Linked DNA regions of Mus musculus. The main gene of each other region encodes a partner of the protein of the gene in region 3 in a complex. Links are inferred from orthologs where the notes say so. Each region holds a gene or a part of one and is shown on either strand. Other genes may lie near its edges. The genes, in order: Drc3, Efcab2 and Iqcd.

The links.
Region 1: Iqcd (region 3) and Drc3 share a complex: the UniProt entries of both Homo sapiens proteins name them as parts of the nexin-dynein regulatory complex. The link is inferred for Mus musculus from reciprocal best matches to the Homo sapiens genes DRC10 and DRC3.
Region 2: Iqcd (region 3) and Efcab2 share a complex: the UniProt entries of both Homo sapiens proteins name them as parts of the nexin-dynein regulatory complex. The link is inferred for Mus musculus from reciprocal best matches to the Homo sapiens genes DRC10 and DRC8.

Annotation. Positions count from the first base shown.
Region 1 is NC_000077.6:60,350,441-60,357,322, forward strand, and holds the start of Drc3 (dynein regulatory complex subunit 3), read left to right. Parts: upstream 1-2,939; 5' UTR 2,940-2,992; intron 2,993-3,661; 5' UTR 3,662-3,760; intron 3,761-6,882. Other genes in the region: Tom1l2 (TOM1-like protein 2), read right to left, coding at 2,317-2,368. UniProt on the Homo sapiens protein: Component of the nexin-dynein regulatory complex (N-DRC) a key regulator of ciliary/flagellar motility which maintains the alignment and integrity of the distal axoneme and regulates microtubule sliding in motile axonemes.
Region 2 is NC_000067.6:178,403,469-178,410,325, forward strand, and holds the start of Efcab2 (dynein regulatory complex protein 8), read left to right. Parts: upstream 1-2,549; 5' UTR 2,550-2,634; coding exon 2,635-2,665; intron 2,666-6,857. UniProt on the Homo sapiens protein: Component of the nexin-dynein regulatory complex (N-DRC), a key regulator of ciliary/flagellar motility which maintains the alignment and integrity of the distal axoneme and regulates microtubule sliding in motile axonemes.
Region 3 is NC_000071.6:120,597,360-120,603,484, forward strand, and holds part of Iqcd (dynein regulatory complex protein 10), read left to right. Parts: intron 1-2,668; 5' UTR 2,669-2,759; coding exon 2,760-3,479; intron 3,480-4,966; coding exon 4,967-5,200; intron 5,201-6,125. UniProt on the Homo sapiens protein: Component of the nexin-dynein regulatory complex (N-DRC), a key regulator of ciliary/flagellar motility which maintains the alignment and integrity of the distal axoneme and regulates microtubule sliding in motile axonemes.

The DNA.
Region 1 (6,882 bases), on a different chromosome or scaffold from region 3:
CTGTAACTCTGCACCATGGAATCTGATGCCCTCTTCTTCCTCCACGGGCACCCTATTCACACTCACACCGACGCATGCACACACATACATAAATAAAATAAAATCTTTTCAATATAAGAGGGGAGGCTGGAGAGATAACTCAGTGGTAGAGAGCACTGGTGCTCTCCCAAAGGATCCAGGTCTGACTCTCAGCACCCACATGGCAGCTCACAGCTGTCTGTAATTCCAGTTCCAGGTTCTGACACCCTCTTCTGGCCTCTGTGAGCACAAGGAATCAAGTGGTGTATAGACATACATGAAGGCAAAACAAACACATAAAATTGAAATATTTATATATATACATGCACATATATGTGTTTATATGTAAACACATAAAATTGCAGTATTTACATACACACACATATACATACAGAGAAAAAGAGATACTTGAGTGAACATCAGAGAAAGAAGCGTCATAGAAGTGGGAAAAGACTTTCAGGTCCCAGAATCCATGATCACTTATAAAAGACACTTTATCAAAAAAGAACAGAATGGCAGGGTGTGGTGGCACACACCTTTAATCCCAGCACGTGAGAGGCAGAGGCAAGCGAATTTCTGAGTTTGAGGCCAGCCTGGTCTACAAAGTGAGTTCCAGGACAGCCAGGGCTACACCGAGAAACCCTGTCTCAAAAAACAAAAACAAAAAGCCAAAAGCCAAAAACCAAAACCAAACAAACAAAAAACCCAAAAGGAACAGAATGCTCCCAAATGTCAATCAACAACAGAAAAAGCCTCCGTAAGTTTGTAAGCTTAACAACAGAAAAGTAGGCTATAAATTCATATACAAAGTAGAAACAAGCAAGTCTCTACTGCTTGAACTATAAGACCCATAAGGATAGTACAGAGCCCAGTTCATAAAAGATGATTTCAACCAGCCGGCAGACCCAACTTTAATTTTCAAAAATGTTACATATGTGGGCGTTTTGTTTGCCTGTCTGTGCACCATTTACATGGTATGTTTAGGTATGTATATAAAAGACACCAGAAGAGGGCAATCAATCCCCTGGATGTGAAGTTACAGCCAGTTGTGAGCCACTATGCAGTGCCAGGGCCTGAATCTGGATTAACAGCCAATGTCTTTAACCGGTGAGCCAGTTCTCCAGCCCCAAGTTTGTTTGTTTTTAAAGCTAGTCAGCACTTTTGACTGATCTGTTGGCATAAGCTCCCACCTTGGATGAAAGGCCAAATTGCTTTATTATTCATTACTTGCAGTGCTGGATCCTAGATCAAATCCAGGATTTTGTGTGTGCTAAGTTAATGCTCTACCACTGGACTATTCCCTGGTCTGCCAGTGTTTTCTTCTGTAAGGAAACTTCACAGCGGCCAGTGCCATTCCTTATGCAGCATGCGGCCCGCCTCTAACTCCTTACACTACTGACAGCTGCTCTGATTACTCTACTACCACTTTATGTAGTGGGAGAGCAAGAGGCAATGTAAGGAGACGCTTAATATCAACAAGGAAGATTCAGAACTTTAGAACTTGAAGAGTCCCACCACATCTTATCTCCAAATACCCCGTGTGGCAGACAAGAGAACGTCAAAATATAAAGCGCACAAGGTCAGGAGGAGCGTCCCTGGCAAAGTCACTACTGGAGTCCAAGTTTCCGGGATCCAATGGACTGCTTATCAACAAAGCAGCCCTGCCTCCCTTCTTTCCTAGGAGGCCTAGGAGATTCTGCCGCCACGCCATCCCCCTGCCAAGCCAGTCACTTTCCCCGAGGGCCTCCCCCATCCCAGTCCCTCCTACAGCCTGACTGAGTTGCAGCTCAAATTAGAAGTCGTGCAGCATGGGGCATTTTCTGGGAAAGTGCCCAGCCTCAGAGCCATTGGTACCAATGAGCAGGGACAAGGACGGAAGAAAGAGTTCCATTCCACAAAGGCTCCGGGAGACAGAGGCCCTGGGAGCAAAGGCAGCGAGATACCTGGGGAAGAGTACTCGCAGTGACATCTCCCAATACGCAAGGGTAAGCAGACTAGCATGGACACTACTTCTGGGGAGAGACTTGAAAGGCTGGGCCCTGATGGGCAGGGATGCCGGGGACCTCTCTAAGTCCAATCGGCACCTCGGGGGAGCCTCCTTGTAGGGTGAGGTGGCACCAGCGTCAGGCAGAGGCCTCGTGACAAGGATGCCCAGTCCACCTTTGAGATGACACCACTTATTGGCAGAGGCCCAACCCGCACGTGAGGTGATTTCAGTGCCGGGAGGAGGCCCGCGGATCTCACCAGCCCGGTCAGCCGCTGTGGCTCACTCGACGCCTGCCCCACGCGCGGCCTTACCAAGACACTGCCCTACAGGGGTGCTGAACGGATTCCCCAGCAGGAACTCCATCTCGGCGGGCCTCGTTCCAGCCCGGACTCCTGTGTGCCACGGGTCTCCGCTGCCCGCGCCGCGTTCTGCCCTGACTGACACTTGCCCCCGCCCCACCCTCCGGAACGCTGAGCGCCCGGCCTGACCTCGCCCTCTGGGTGCATCTCTATTGGGCAGCGTCTAACCAGCCCACTTCCGATTGGACGACACTCCACTCTCAGTGAAGTCCCACCCACCCCGCGGCGTCCGATTGGGCACGAAGCAAGCTAAGTCACTAGGGTCTCCGTCAGCCTAGCGGCACAACCCCCGGACCCGCCTCCAAACGAGTGGCCGTTCTTCTTGATTCATTAGCACGTTGGTCAGTCTAGAGAATCTTTACTATTATTGGATAAAAGGTGTGTCAATCGTTTACATAGGCGGGCAGAAAGAAAGCGTAACTAGAAGTTGAAGCTCGTTGACTGTGCTGATTGGAGAAACGTTTGTTTTCTTCAAGTCTGGTTGGTGTTAGAAATATGGCCACGTGACGAATCAACTTTCACCCAGGATATTTATCGCTTGACTTCCCCTTAGCAACCAAGTGGCGGTGTTTGGTTCCCCAGCAACCAAACGAAGCGTCTACTGCAAGGGGAGACAGTCCTTAGGAAGGTAAGAATCAAGAGTTTAGCTCCAGAAGATTAGAGGTTGCATGATTGAGGTCTGTCTTGTAACTCTTCTTGGAGGACTCCGACCTGACCCGTCTCATCTGTAAAATGAGCACACATGTCATTTTTACACTTGTACTGAGACTTAATCGGGCTTTTGAAAAAGAAAAGAGCGTATAAAATCTTAAACTAGCAAAAGCAAGTAGGAAAAGGGTCCATCAGCCAGTTTCCTGGCCTGATTCGTTTCACTGAAAGAGAGGTACCCGATACACTGATAACTCATTCTAGAGTTTGGCTGTTATATCCATCCTCTTGATCTGCAATAAGGTATTTCATTTGGTGCCGTATGAAGTGTTTGCGATGAGAATAAAGATATCAAGGTTCCATCTCAGTCTCTGTCAGTAATTCACTCTATGACTTTGGTCACAGACCCCCCCCCCGGCCCCCCACATACACACATACCTCAAGCCTCAATTTCCCTATCTGGGAAGTAGGGACACTAAGATGTCCCTTTTAAATAGCTCCCAGAACTGGCATGGAGTTAAATAAGTGGAGTGCACTGAGAGTACGACAAGGACTTATTCTCATCAGTTGCTTTTATTCTCATTACTGTGGGACTCATAGGGTCTACATAGTGTTTCAGGTCCAGCTAACCCAGGCTGTTGTTTCCCAGGTAAACCAGTGACGAGGCTACCTGGTTGATTTGTTTGTAAAGCTTTCTGCTGCTTCTCCACATCCTACCTCTGGTCTTCACCAAGGACACTATCATCAGGCAAGTCAATGGGACCCCCATTTGGATAAATTATTGACATCCTCCCCATAGGGGAGGATTCTTTGGGCCTTGTTCTGTAGGCAGAGAACATGTGACAATGTCTGTCCCTAGTGTGCTGGGTACAATAGAGTTGTGATTAAGAAAGTGGATTCTGTGTTAGACATGAGGTCGTGCCTCTTGGTAAATCTTCATATTAGTCAATCGAGAAATTTCTCTTACAGAGATCCCTACTGTGTGCTTTCATAGTTCCATACACCCACTAACCTGTCAATGTTTGTAAGTAGATATTGGGATAATTTATTTAATTCAAGTGTGGTTCAGAAGTCAGGCCACACCTCTTCAGTATCCTTTCACAAGGTTGGTTATAGAGAGCCGCTCTGACCTTGTAGCTTTCACAAAGTTCTCTCTTTCACTCCTTACAGATGTGAGCAAACCCAGCTTCCCCTGATTCCTGGGCCAAGACATACCTGAATTGCAACTTTACTCTCTTAACTAAGCCTGCCACCGTGCCAGGAGTCATGTAGACTAGGTCAGGTCAGGTCACATGGTATAGAACTAAAAGCCACCACTGTCGTTGTCCCCCCCCCCGCCCCCCAAAACTGTGAGTCGTAAGTCCCTTTGTTCTCTGGATCTGAGGGAGCTAATGGAACTGGAAGATTTGTCTTTCTCTTCTGGGCACCATGTGGCTGCCAAGATTCTGATGCAATCTCTCCTAGTGCCCTCTCACTTCAGGGCTCCTCATGGCTGTCTGTGGCCTCGAACCTCTGACTCTCCTAGCAAAATTCTTCTGGAGGGCAATTGATTTTAGCACTACTCCTCTTTCAAACACTATTATTGGGTCAATCAATTACTTTAGCTTAGGCATAACCTTCCAAACTAGATTTTGTCTCAGACCTTCCTATAAACTAAGTTCCTAGTGATGTCCCACCCCTCTGTATTACAACCACTCTGGTCACTCACTTTCCCCTCCCCTCCCCTTCCTTTCCTTTCCATTTTTGTTTGTTTGTTTGTTTGTTTTGACACAGGTCCCTCTGTGTAGCTCAAGCTGGCCTCATACTATGTAGACCAGGCTGGCCTCAAAAAGTCACAGGGATCTGCTTGTATCTGCCTCCCAAGCGCTAGGACTTGCACCACCACTCCTGGCTAGCCTCACTCCTTTTGTAATTCTTGCCACAACAGCTATAATAAAAACTAAAATCCGATCCATCTTCACCTTACAAGCCCTAGGAGCTTGCCAGCCATTATGGAATACAAATGCAATATAGACCCTGTATCACTTCTGCTTTCCAGCTTGGGGTCTTCACTGGGTTATCGTCTCTTCTTGCTTTCTTTTCTTTTTATCCCTCATATTGTATCTTCCCTGATCAAGCCAACTGACCCTACTAGGTGTTTTCACCATTCCCCACACCTACTAAGATGTTTGTAAGTAAATGCTGGTATAACAATTTAATTCAACTCTGAAACAAAGGACCTGTCCAAGGCTCACAGCATGTGGTAGTTATTTGATATGGATGTGTGGACTAAATACAGGTCCTTTCTTAGACAGATGTAAAAAAAAAAAAAAAAAAGAAAGAAAGAAAAGTAAAGAAAAAAAAAAAAAGCCAGGCAGTGGTGGTGCACATCTTTAATCCCAGCACTTGGGAGGCAGAGGCAGGTAGATTTCTGCGTTCGAGACCAGCCTGGTCTTACAGAGTGAGTTCCAGGACAGCCAGGGCTACATGGAGAAACCCTGCCTCAAAAAACAAAAAACAAAACAACAACAACAAAAAAAATTGACAGATGTAGAGTGGGGAGTTATCTACCTAACAGGAAAAAGACTTAAGCCGGTGACGTTACTTTTCAAAAGATACACAGTCAGAGGCAAAGTCCTCTCTGGGTGTAAACATTTAGCATAGTTCTTGCACCAATCCTATACTGCACAGAACCTGCTGAGCTGGACTGAATGCTATCTAGCATGACTGAAAGCTAGTTTGACCTGTCACAGTTAATGGGCTTTGATGAAACAGAGGTCAAAGTTTTGACACCAGAATTGAGTCATTTCCCAAAGCACAACACCCAAAAAAAAAAAAAAAAAAAAATTCCATGTACTTTTCAGATAACATCTGACAAATGAACCACTTTAAAAAATTTCCCCAGAGGTAAAATTTTGAGGTTAGTGGTAAATTATGAGGAACTTTAAGGGAAACTGTTTAGGAAGAATAGGATGCTGATGCGCACAACAACTGCTTGGGAAGACTGAGTCTGTCATTCGGTCACACTGAGGAAGAAGAATCAGTCAGTTACCCTGAGGAGGAAGAGTCAGTCAATCAGCCAGCCACCCTGAGGAGGAAGAGTCAGGCATTCAGTCATCCTGAGGAAGAAAAGTCAGTCAGTCACACTGAGGAGGAAGAGTCAGTCAGTCAGCAGTCACCCTGAGGAAGAAGAGTCAGTCAGTCACCCTGAGGAGGAAGAGTCAGTCAGTCAGTCACCCTGAGGAGGAAGAGTCAGTCAGTCAGTCACCCTGAGGAGGAAGAGTCAGTCAGTCAGTCATTTACTCTGAAGAGGAAAAGTAGACAGGAGAGAGTAGGAAAACAAGGTTGAGGTTTTGAAGGATCAGGGCACAGATGGAAAAAGAGCAGGGACCATGGAAGATACAAACATCCTTCACACTAGATAAGATATCAATGACAGGCCTAAGAAGCCAGTCCATCCAAGTATAACCTGTGAGCCAGTGAGCTCATTGCAGTGACTTACAGAAGGATGAGTGGCTCAAAGGCACCCCCAAATTGGGTGACAAATCATGCCAGTTTGGTCCTAGAGCTCTAAGTCTAACTTACAGATTGCTCTTATCAAAGATAAGTCTTTTCTTCCTCAGAAATTGTTTACTCCTCATATATAAACTCACTTTTCTTTGTGTGGTTGATTTGGTTTGGTTCGATACAGGGTCTCTCTATATTGAACCAAATCAAATTGGCTATCCTGGAACTCACTATGTAGAGTAGGCTGGCCTGAAACTCACAGAGATCCTCTTGCCTCTGCCTCCCTCACAGATGCTCGGATTAAAGGCATGCACCACCATGTGTGGCTCTATATCAGCTCTTCAGCAGCATCCTAGTGTTGTAACTCTGTGAGCTTCCTGCCTT
Region 2 (6,857 bases), on a different chromosome or scaffold from region 3:
TTGTTATAGGGTCTTAGACTATTGCGCAGGCAGACCTTGAACTTTCAGAAATCTTCATCCCAGCCTCCCAATGCTGTGACTATAGGTGTGAATGCTAAACCTAGATCAACAGTGTATTAACTACCTAAGGTCCAAGCCTTTTGGTTGTAGTTTCTTTTTATTGGTGCTGGGGATTGGACCTAGGCTTTTATGAATGGTAAGCATGTACCTTTTACAGTTGAGTAAAATCTCCATCATCATGCTGACCTTGAACTCACTGCTGTATGAGGGTGACCTTGAACTCCTGATCCTCCTGCCTCCATCTCCCAACTTCCTCACCTGATTTGATGGTATTGTTTTAAATTTTCAAGAAGAACTCAAAGGAGTACAAACTAATATGATTTAGAATAACTAAAATGAAATACTTTATTAGTTTAGTAGAATGTACAAAATGTTAGGAGGGGAGTTACAGAGAAATTTGCTTAACTTTTAAATGTTAACTAGGTCTATGAACAAATGCTTATGTAAGGATTCCATTTTTTTACCATGTGCTGCCAATACTTTTATTGATACAAAAATATAAAGCAAGAGGAAAATCTGTCTTACAGTAAGTTCATTGAATCTGAGTGGCTTGGAAAAGTCATTGAGAACACTAGCTTGTTTTCATTTTTAAGACCTATATTATTTCAGATTAGATGTCAGTGTGTGCACCTGAAGTTCTAGAAACTCATGAAGGCTGAACAGAAGCATCACTTGAGCCCAGGAATTTAAGACCAGTCTGAGCACCTAAAGAGAATCCTTCCTCATACAAAACACTAAAGCAAAGACACAAACTACAAGCTACAGGTGCGTGCGCACACACGCACACACACACACACATCTCTCACACACAATTCCAGTCAGAATGTCCCAGTGTATAGAACAACGTTACTGGCTGGAAATGTATGTGGTAGAAACAAGTAAATAAAATAAAAGCACTATAAACATTTTGAAAACTTTGCCTATGGGACCATTGAAGAGGAGGTAAAGATAAGGGGCAGGCAATGCTCAGGGTCACCTTCCATCAGGAAGGGACAGTTCTCTTCCTTCCCATACTTGCTACAAAGTCCTTCATCTTCAGGGAGAGTAAGGGGAACACACAGAATGTAAATATTAATATAAAATAAATAAAATATTAATATAAAATAAATAAAATATTAATATAAATTACTCTTCCATATTTTGGGGTGATTAATTTACTGTATGCTTGAGTTCATCTTGGAAGTCTTTCTTTTCTTTCTTTTCCTTTCTTTCTTTCTCTTTCTTTTTGTTTTATTGTTTTGTTTTTGTTTTTGTTTTTGTTTTTTTGAGACAGGGTTTCTCTGTGTAGCCCTGGCTGTCCTGGAACTCACTCTGTAGACCAGGCTGGCCTCGAACTCAGAAATCTGCCTGCCTCTGCCTCCTGAGTGCTGGGGAAATTTGCTTGATATGCACCATTTTCTGATTATTCAAATTGTAGTTAGACACTTCATCAAATCTTTATTGCCTATAGAAAAAAATATTTTAATGAAGAGTACAGTTGGCCTGCTTTGAGGGTTCATTCACTGAGATTACAGAACTTCGATGAATAAAAACTAATAATAAAAAATAAAATACTGAGATGTAAAGTGAATAAATAACTATATTAAAGAAAAATCAAGACAAAACAAAGGCCTCTACATTTAGTTACTTTTACAAAAATATTTAAATAAGTACACATATACCATGAAATTATCATTAAAGATTAAAACTAGATATTAATTTGAGTCACATTGTTAGACATTTCAAAACTGTTGGGTTTTTTTTGTTTGTTTGTTTGTTTGTTTGTTTTGGGGGGGTTTCATTTAAGGGAGAATCTTAGTATTCTGAGCTTATCCATCAAATAACAAAACACGCGATAGCCAAGTTTCTCAGTACTCAAAATTCTCATCGGAAGGTCATGCCAAATTGCACCATCAACATACAAAATGTGTGTATCCCTGAGAACAGACCGTCAATTTATTTGTTGCTATGAGAACACTATTTTGTATCAGAAATTGCAGCCTTGGCGACGCAGTGTTTGCGCCTATTTTGCACATGTTTTTCTACAGCAAGTCCTCTCTCTCTCTCTCTCTCTCTCTCTCTCTCTCTCTCTCTCTCTCTCTCTCTGCGATCCCGGGGAAAGGCTGGGCTTCCTCCTGCACTGGCCCATGTCCGTTTTCGCTCCAGTTCCGTGACTGGCAGAGTGGCTCCGCTCAGGAGAGGGTGACGCCAGAGAGCCACAAGGCCTGGCTCGGGTGGGGTTGGGGTGGGCGGACGCTTTTCGGGGAGGGACCGTGTAAGGGGCCGCCAGGTCTGCGCCCGGTTCTGGGGCGCACCTGAGACGGCCGGGAAAAAAAAAAGCTGAATAAAATAAGTAATTAAAGAAATGAATAAAGAAATAAGCAAGGCACACTACGTCCTTGACAGTCACAATCAGGCCCAGGCGGGTTCCGGAGCCTTGTTAATAAATGACGCCCCTAGGCCCAAAGAACGCGGGCCTCGGTTCTGGTGGGGGCGGGGATCGGGGGGCCACCGTGCATCCAGGGGCTTTCTCCGCCCGCGGGGTCCCGCAGGGTTCGTGCTGGATGTCTCCCGGGCGACCGGCTCCGCACCAAGATGGCGGAGGAAAGGGACGCGGAAGGGACAGGTAGGACCCTGCCTGGGGTGCCACGACGTCGCCTCTGCGCCTGAGGAAGCGCCCCCCGGCCAACATCTTGAGCCCCTCGGCGTGGCGACAGTGGGCTGAAAAGCGGCGCCAGCCCGCGTCCCCACCGTCCGCCCTCCCGTCCCCTCGAGAGGTCTGCGCGGGCTGTTGTAGCCCCCGCCGGGGAGGTTCATAATGGCGTCCTTGTCCCTGGCACCTCCCCTCCCCGTGAGGGCGCCAGCCGCGGTCTGGGTGGGCTGTGGGTAACCCGGAGGGCGGCCTCATGGAGGACTGGAGCTGCGACTAGAACCTGGCGGGATCCTCTGCGGCTGTGCCGAAACCCCGCCCAGCCCGGCCCAACCCGGCCCCAGCCGCCTCCATTTTGCCTCCTCCTCCGCCAGGCGGAGCGCAGCCTCCAGGTCAGACTGGGCCCTAGCGGCCCGGGTCGCGCTAGAGCCTTGCATAAGGAACACGCACTTTAATCACTTTAAAGAAAACCCAGCCGGGACTTGTCGGGCCGCCCAGACCGGCCGGGTACCCGAGAGGCCTCAGGGGACCCGAAAAACTAATGTTTCATGTTGAACTGCAAGACCTTTTGAATTGTTGCTAACCCAGCCGAATGACTTAAAATCGGATCTGTGACTCAACAGCCATTACGTGATAAATTGACAACATCACCGCTAAATAAATAGTCAAGCAAGCCCTAAAATAGTAAATGGCAAACATTGCAAAAAAAGTGAAAGTAACACTCCATCTTTGCTGACTCTCTCCCCTCCCTCTTGTATTCCCCCACCCCCACCCCCACCCTCTGGTTTGGAACACAGTAGTTAGGTTAACAACTAATATTTACACGAGTTGTTTAGTCCATTGTCATGGTGATTACAGGAACCCAGCAGGGAAACTTGAGACCCTAGATTTTTTTTTTTTTTTTTTTTTTGGTTTTGGCTGTCCTGGAACTCACTTTGTAGACCTGGCTGGCCTCGAACTCAGAAATCCGCCTGCTTCTGCCTCCGGAGTGCTGGGATTAAAGGCGTGCGCCACCACTCCTGGCAGCTAGAGATCTTATTGATGACCTGTGATTTATAGATGGTAAAATTAATCTCAGAAGTCGGCATTGTAGTATAGAGTTTTAACTCTACTAAGGTATCAAGATTTTTGTGGTGCTATTTTAGAAATGGAAGGTTTTATTCTACTTTTTTGTTGTTGTTTTTACAAAGAATATGAAGTTAGAGGGCAGGGAGTGTCGGTGAGGTGTTGGGGGAAGGGAAAGAATATGATCAAAATATGTTGTATAAAAAATGTTTTAGGTGAGTCGGGGGTGGTGGTGCACACCTTTAATCCCAGCACTTGGGAGGCAGAGGCAGGCAGATTTCTGAGTTCGAGGCCAGCCTGGTCCTACAAAGTAAGTTCCAGGACAACAAGGGCTACACAGAGAAACCCTGTCTCAAAAAAAAAAAAAAAAAAAAGTTTTAGGTAAAAAAAAAAAAAAAGCTTCCCCAGAAAGTATTTTTTTTTTTTTAGTTATACTTTTATTACCCCCCTCAAAAAAAGTAAAGGAGAAAATCATTAGGGGATGAATTATTTTTTAAATTAATTTACCTTATGTGTATTGGTGTATTGCCTTTGTGTATGTCCTTGTGAGGGTGTCGGATCCCCCAGAACTGGAGTTGCAGATGGTTGTGAGCTGCCATGTGTGTTCTGGGAATTGATCCAGGATTCTCTGGAAGAGCAGGTAGTGCTTCTAACCTCTGAGCCATCTGTTTTTTTGTTTTTTGGGTTTTTTTTTTGTTTTGTTTTGTTTTTTAAACAAAATCTAAATCATTTGGTTTTACCAATGAAAACCCGGGAGCCAGAATCTGTGGTGAAAGTTTGCTAGCTCAGAGAAGCAGAGAAAGCACCCAGCTGACCCTGCTCCTCAGCCAGTGTCCCAGACATTGTTTTTTTTTTTTTTTTTTTTTTTTTAAATAATCCTATGTTTACTCTCTGTCAATTGGTTGCTTGTTCCACCTCTTAACTTATGGTTGACTTTATTTAATTTTGTTTATAATATTCAAGCAGAGAACTCTTGGATAAATGCATATGCTAAAGCTGAAACACACCACAACTAGAGACACAATAGGTGTTATTAACACAGTGGGAACAAATATCCATCTCTCCAGACCCCTCCTTTTCTTTTTAAGTTAAAGACTTATTTAGGGTAGCATTGGAGTATACTGCAAGTTTTTACAATGTAAAATTATACACACACACACACACACACACACACACAACACTTAGGATCTCACCTTGTAGCTTTGATTGGTCTGGAACTCCCAGAGATGCACCTGTCTGCATCTGAGTGAGTGCTGTGACTAAAACTGTGTGCCACCACACCCAGCCTGATTTTTACAGTTGTTATCCCTGCTTGAGAGAGACAGAGACAGACAGAATTTCTGTTTCTTTAGTTTCCAAAACATATTTTAATGTTTAGTGTAAGTTTAGGAGAAAAAACAGTTCAGTCTGCAACTAACTGTGGAAGTAATGGCTGTTGAAAGCTGGATTTCATATATTCAATTTCTTATATATTTAATGCTTGCTTCATGGAAAGTAGTCTGGTGAATGTTAAACCTGAAAATTGTGATGAGGAAGATGGAATCCATGGTTGTCCAACTGAAGTAAGCTTTATTAAATACTGGCCAGGAAGATGGACACTGGCCATGTCCCTATGTGGGATTCTTACAGAAATGGTGATGAATTCCATCCTTCAGGTGCCTGTTAGGCCAGGCTCATGAAACTCCTTACTTTCCACCTTGGTTCACTGGGGCAAGCATACATCCTGACTTCCTTCCTGCCTGTGCGTCTCCTGCCTGGATGTGACCAAGCACATCCTGTGCAGTTGGGACAACAAACTTTGTTTATTGAAGGGGAACAGGGATTCATTATCTGACAAAAACAACAGCCCTCTGCATTCCTGGGAGTTATCTGTCCTTGGGCGAGTGGGGTTTAAAGCTTAACTTTAGCCCTTACATCAGGGCAGAACTTTAGTGAATAGCGAGATGAAGAAGGCATTGTCTTTGTCCTCCCCAAAGGGGAGGTTATCAGTAAGGGAGATAAGAGAGGAAGAAATGGAAAACAAGAAGCCAAGAGGAGCAATAGGGAGCCAGGGCCAAGATAAGATCCTCAAGGCACACTGTCCAGCGTCCTGCTTCCTCTAGGAGAGCTTACTTTTCAAGGTTCTGTTCAAATTTGAATCTATCAGTGGATTGAAACGGATTAGGTTGGTGCCCTCAAGATCCGGTTGTCTCTGGAAAAGCCCCTGAAATACATCCAGAGGTATCCAGTCAAGTGGATAATATGGATTAAGAATGGCCTGGGGCCTGGCGGTGAAACAGGATTTTAATCCGAGCCATCAGGAGGCAGAGGCAGGCGGATCTCTGAGTTCCAGGAGAGCCTAGCCTACAAAGGACTACAGGGAGAAACCCTGTCTAAAAAACCCAAAACTTAGAAAAGAAAAGAAAGGAAAAGAAAAGGAAAAAAGAATGATTTGGGATTTTCATGTATTTAAAAAATACTTTCTGTGTGGTTATATATGTTGATGTTATGTTTCCCTGTAGCTTATTTTGTGTTTGAACAGCATAATTTTCTTTTTCCTAGATTTCTGTAATTAGCTAAATAGCAAATGAATTAAAAAATTTAAAACCAAGTTAATTTTAAGTCATTTATCTTTTTTTTTTGTACTGAAAGAGTATTTAAAATGTGATAGAAAAAGCTTCTCTTTTTGAAGTTTTATCATTTCTTTGAAGTTTCCCCAGCATTTTTTGTTTGAGTTTTTTTTTTTTTTTTCCTTTCTGGTTTGTTTTGTTTGCTTAAGTGGATAGTTGATGAGGTTGTCATTTGGTTGGAGCTTTTAATCCCAGTGTTCATGTCTCCTAGAGAATTTTACACAGTACCAGAAGGCTCTTCTGTTTGTAGTTGGAGCCAGGGAACCAACTGCTTAGGTATAGAATTGTAACTTTAGGCAGACCAGAGAGATTTAGAAGTTGTGTCAGTTTTCTAACAGATCCCCTTTCAAACTTATTTTTGGTCTATACTAAATTATTACTTGATATTTTTCACTCTTTGATATCATTACTTAGAAAAATGACTAGTCTAATTATACAAGAGGTTTAACACATTTTGTGTATGTGTGTGTGTGTTTTTTAAATTCTCTGTATGG
Region 3 (6,125 bases):
GAGAAAGATAGTGACCAGTTAATGAGGTCTGTGTGGGGATGCCAGAGCCAGTTAGCAAGGCAAGGGGCATGCAGAGGGGGCAGGCTGAGCACAGAGGAAGGTACTCGGCTGTGGATGGCATTCGTACAGGACACCATGACGTCCCAGGCTCACACTTCAGCTTCCCTGGACCTATAATGTAATATTAGCTGTCTGTTGAAGACATATCATGTCTGAGCCTTGTGCTCGAACCTAAGGAGTCTTGCCTTACAGTAAAGAGAACCCAGGCCCCCCTAACCAGACTTAGGTCTCCCAGCAAGGACTGCAATCCAGCCACTGTGCAACCAAAGTTTTAAGTCTTTTCTTTAAAGTTAGGGTTTCTTTGTGTAGCCTTGGCTGTCCTGGAACTCACTCTGCAGACCAAGGTGGCCTCGAACTCAGAGATCCACCTGCCTCTGCCTCTTGAGTGCCAGGATTAAAGGTGTGTGACCCTATGCCCAGCTTGCCAAAGAATTTGGCAAAAATTTCTGATGTCTCCATTGAGTTCAAGACAAACCTTTTACTTCGTAACAATTGTGGATAATATATATCCTCCGAATTCTTCTGAAAGCTCCCCCTGATGTTACTTTATAGGTCAGAACTAAGAAAGTAACATTGCCAGCCCGGGGTAACCAATGACCACACATGCCTGCAATCCTCAGGCTTTGGGGATGGAGGCAGGAGTTGCTACACAACAAGTCCTGGGCCAGCCTGGGCTACATGAGACTCTGTCTCAAACAGAAACAAATATGTAAGTCACTATCCATACAGTTCTGTTAACCAAACCTTGGATTTAGTGACATCCCAGATGTTACCCTGATGCCCTTTCTGTTTCAGAACAGAGCCCTGACCCTTTAACACAGTTTCTCATGTGCTACTGATCAGATCACCAGCCATAAAATTATTTCACTGCTACCTCATAACTGCAATGTAACTATCTTGATATGCAAGATATCTGATATGTGACCCATTCGTGGGGGGTGGGTCTTGACCCACGTGCTGAGAACCTCTAGTTCAGGACTTGATTTGATTTTCAGGAAAATGGACTAGCCTCCTCCCTCCCTCCCTTTTCTTTCTTGTCTTTTCTTCCATGTGTTGGCATTACCGGCCAGCCCCACAGCACCTGGTGAGTAATTATTTTGTTTGTTTTGAGACAGGGTTTCTCGATGTAGCGCTGGCTGTCCTAGAACTCACTCTGTAGAGCAGGCTGGTCTGGAATTCAAGAGATCCACCTGTCTGTGCCTCCCAAGTGTTGTGATCAAAGGCATGCACCACCACTGCCTGGCTTAACTTTATTCATTTACTTACTTACTTACTTACTTACTTACTTACTTACTTTTGGAGTTTTGAAAATATACTTAGGCAGGCCTTGAACTCTCAGCCATCACCCTGCCTGCGCCTCGTGGGTGCTGGTCTTAGCAGATACCACATCTCCTGAAACTTTCTGTACTCTGTATTTTGAAGTTATTGTTACAACTCTGCCCCAGTTTTCAAATCAATACCCCCAAAAAACTCACCCGGCCAGGATCAGGAGTGGTGGCTGTCTTGGGAAAGTACCTGCCACACAGGCATGGTGAGCTGGGTTCCATCCCCAGAGCTCACACGAAAAGCCAAGGACGTAGGCAAGAGTTTGTAATCTCAGCCTTGGGGAGGTGAACCCACTGGCTTGCTGGCGGCCAGCCTGCCCAAGCTGGTGAGGTTCCAGTTTAGCCAGAGACCCTGTCTCAAAAAGTAAGGAGACAGATGAAGAAAGACACCTGATAGTGATATCTGGCCTGCATGGGGACATATAATATGTAGAAGTGCACACATGCACATGTACACACATGCACACACTATGCATACCTGATCACAGATGCTCCCGGTGTGTGCTGGTACACAGTCATCCACCCTGCTTGGCCTTGCCCCTGTTCAGCTCTGTCCATGTCCTGTCCTATCCTGTCCTACTCTGTGTGACCTGTCCTCCTGTGTCAGTGTCTGCTCCTATTCTGTGGCCCATCCTGCTCTGTCCCTGTCCCGTCCTAATGTTCGGCATGTCCTGCTCCTTGCCCCAGACTCCTCCGCATCCTGGCCTGATGATGTGGTACACCAGTGGCCCAGGCTCTTGAGTTGGTTTCCTGCTGGTTTAGCATCAACGTGGGGGGGGGGAATGCAAGTTGGGGCTAGGACATTTCCACTCTCTGATCAGACAGTGCTTGCAGTCACAGCTGCAACTCCTCTGGGGTCTACTGCCCCTGGTGAGCCCAACACATGTGGCTTCCTGCTGCTGGAGCTGCTGGGTGACCTCAGTTGCCTGAAGCTGTCCTCTCTCTGTTTCTGCCTCTTGGGTAACCCTTGGAGGTTGGTCCCCAGAACAGAGGCTGCTTTTTGCCTGATAGATGTGCCTGCAGCTGCCCTCCACCCTCAGGCCTCCTACCCCCACCCCCGCTGGCTCAAGCACCATCACGAAGCCAAAAGATAAGCTTGCCAGGGTGGTACACGCCTATAACCGTAGCCCTCAGATCGGGAGGAAGGGACAGCCTAGGCTATAATGGACCATATCTCCAAACCAAACCTTGAAGACAAAAAAGCTAAAAGTAGCTTTGAGGTTCTGTACAGTGGTCATCATGGCCAATGGCGATGTACCTCACAGTCACCCCTTCCTCTGCAGGGTTACTGGAGGCTGTGAAATCCAGGAGAGCCTTGAGTTGGCGGCTGCCTCAGTACCAGATTATACCGAGGCAAAGGCAGCCTCTCCAGAAATGGCCTTGGACCAGGTCAGCATACCCCCTTCCTACCACGGACTGGCCATCCAAAGAATCCCACTGAGAACAGGTCTAGTCCCAGCAGAGCCGATGAAGACCTTAGTCCCATCCAAATCCAAGCTCAACACCATCGAGGCCAAGAGGATCATGTCAGTCCTGGATGAGGCCATACACAAGATAGAGCTGATAACCCTGATGTCCTACATGGAGTCCCACCCAGAGGCTCTGGAGGACACGCTGCCCGAGGATTTCGTGAGAGCCCTAAGAGAGCACTTGGACATTGGCCAGACCCTGGTGGAGAGGGCCAGCATCCTGCAGAGGAGACACAAGAAGCTGGAGGAAGAGGAAGAAGCCGAGGAAACTAGGAACCAGGAACGCCTACTGTCCCTAGAGCTGCACAAGGTGAACCTGCTGACGCTGGCGCACCAGTTCCGAGACTCCACCAAGACTGTCCTGAGGCTCGTGCTGGGCGAGCCTCAGTTCACCAGGCTGTTACAGGTACAGGCGCCAGGCAGAAGCCCGGGGGCCCAGTGCCTCCTCGACGGTCTGGTGGAGCTTCGAGGTTTCCTCTTTGAGAAGCTCCTCACCAGCCCCATGGAAGTCAGGGAGAAGAACCAATTCATACAGGACATCAGCCGGAGGAGCGAGAGGAACCAGGAGGTCATCGATGACCTCCAGGCTGAGCTGGCCAACGTGCTGAAGAACAAGGAGTCAGAGGTACACCTCCCTAAGGCATCCCCCAAATTAGGGGAGAAACCTCACCCAAACAGGCCAACCCTCTGGGATTTGCCTCTTCTCTCATGGGTTTCAATAGCTCTCTCCCTTCATTTAATCCTCAGAAATTGTTCTGAGCATTTTCCTAGGAGGTCTGTCTGTAGGAAAAGCCCAACCTCCGGAGCTCAAGGAAGGACAAGGGCAGGGCGCTATCAAGGGATGATGTAAGAGAACTAAATCCTGGCCAGAAGGACTAGGGACAGCGCCACTAAGACAGGGAGGACACAGAAAGCGGGATTGAGCCAGACAAGCAAGGCAGACCTTCCCAGCCAGGGGTTGGCAAAGTGTCTGTGTCACTGGCTAAGTGGGTCCTTTGTCTCGGGTAAGATAGACACCAGACATGTGGGGGAGGAGTTGGAGAGATGGCTCAGAGGTTAAAAGTGCAGGCTTTTGTCTGTTGGAGTCAGGGTCTCACTCTACAGCCTTGACTGGCCTGGAACGCCATAGAATCCCACCTGCCTGTGCCTCCCAAGTGTTGGGATTAAAGGCATGCGCCACCACTCCCAGTACACATTGCTCTTACAGAGCAACAGAGGTCAGTTCCCAGGCCCTCTGGCCAGCTGCTTGCAAACACTGTTTACTCCAGCTCTCCCGGGGAATCTCACGCCCTCTGCTGGACACCACAGGCACCTGCATTCACTTGCATGGGGCCAGGCATGGCTCCGTGAAGACAAAGCCTTCTGTGCGAGCCAGGGGATTTGAGTGTGGGCTCCAGAGCCACTCTGTTCCCTGAGACTGGGCAGGCAGGGACAGGAGTCAGTGGCCCACCAGCCTAGCATAGCCAACAAGCTCCAGGCCAAAGAGAGAGGTGTATGACAGTTGAGGCTGTACACACAAAGGCTGTACACACAAGCACACACATGCACACATGCAGGCCACTCTATAGCTGTGAACACAGAGCTGTGACATCCAAAGCTTCCGCAGGCAGCTTAAAGTGCACCTGTACCTGCATTCCAACCAGCCCCACCCCCACCCAGATTTTCCTAGAGAGCGTATTAGAATGAGTCTCAGATCTGTTGCATCTTGGCAGCTGTGGGTCGTCCATGGCTACTGTCTTCCTGCACACACTTGCCAGCTTTCTTTCTGGCTCCATATCCCATCTCCAAAGGGTCACACATCCCACACACTGGGCTCAGTGAGCTAACGGTCTCAACATGTCTCTGTTGTTAGTGTGGAAGCAGCCATGGAGAGTATCAGGACTGAAGGGCTGTGTCCCAATAATACTTTATTGACAGCTATGGCTGGCTGGATTTGCCCTGTAGGCCTTGGCCAACCCCTTTCCTAGGGGAGGGGAGCATGTGGTCCCAGGCCGGAGAGACGCATAAGCCCCTAGGGGAGGGGCACAACCAAAGGCCAGCTGTCCTGTGACTGGGAGTGGGAGGACTGCGTGGCTATTAAATAGGGCCCTGTCCTCATTCGTCCTGGCCTAGGTGGAGAAGGAGAACTTTGTGATCCAGGAGCTGAAGAACCATCTGCACCAGGTGTTCAAGTTTTCGGAGAACAGCCTCCTCCGCACGAAGCAGGAGGCCGAGAAGCAGCAGAAGGTGGATTTCCGGGCCTCCCAGGTCAGGCTGGCCAAGACGCAGCAAGATATCCTGGCGCTTCGGGCACAGTACCACAACCTGGTCATGGAGAACCGGGAGGCAGAGCAGGCACTAAGGAAGGTGCCCTGAGGTCTCAGGGGTACAGTGGGGGTGGGGGTGGGGGTGGGGGGCAGCAGGGCTGGCCCAGGGGTGCGAAAGCCCAAGATAGGTGGGATCTCCTGGGAGGTGGGAAGGGGAAGCAGCCAAACCAAGAGTTGGGTCAAGGAGGTCAAATCCCCATCCCAGAATTAGGGCACTAAAGCTCAGTGACCTCCCCAAAGTCCCTGGGCTCCCCTGAGCCCGAAAGGATGATGGCCCCTTCTTGAAGTAGCTCGTGACCCTCAGGCAAACTGAACAGGACCCTTCCGTGTCTGGTTCTCATGAGCTCTGAGGAAGCATAGCTGGAAGTGTGGGCACAGCGCGTGCTGTGAGCATGTGCCAAGCATGGCTGCTTTGTTTGTTCCCTGTCTCAACCGTGCTCCAACCACCTCTCAAGTCTCTTTCCGAGGACACCTTCTTACAGACCAGTCCCCAGTCTTTTCCAGTGTCCTGACTCTCTGAGAATCTCATGGAAGTTGTGTGTCTCCAGACAAAAGGCCGAGGTCTGCACTAGATTGGTGGACAGTCCCAGAGGGTCACGGGGGTGTGGGGGGTGGGAGTGCTGAAGCCAGCCTGCCTTCAGGGCCCACACTGAGAACAGCTCTGGGGAATCTAGAGGCTCCTTTGGTTTTGTTAAAGACGACGACGCAGAGCTGGGAGGACGGCTCGGCGAGGGAAAGGCCCTTTGCAGTCAAGCCTGATACCCTGAGTTCAATCCCCAGGACCCATAGGATAGGAGAGAACCCATTCCTGCAAGTTGTCCTCTTCCCCCTGCCCACATTCCACTATTGTTTTTGTGCATGCACACACACACACACACACACACACCAATGAAAAGACAGTCAATGCACTCCAAAGAAGTCTCCAACTCACAGCAGTCCTCTACCCCATCCCCCCACTCCTTTGC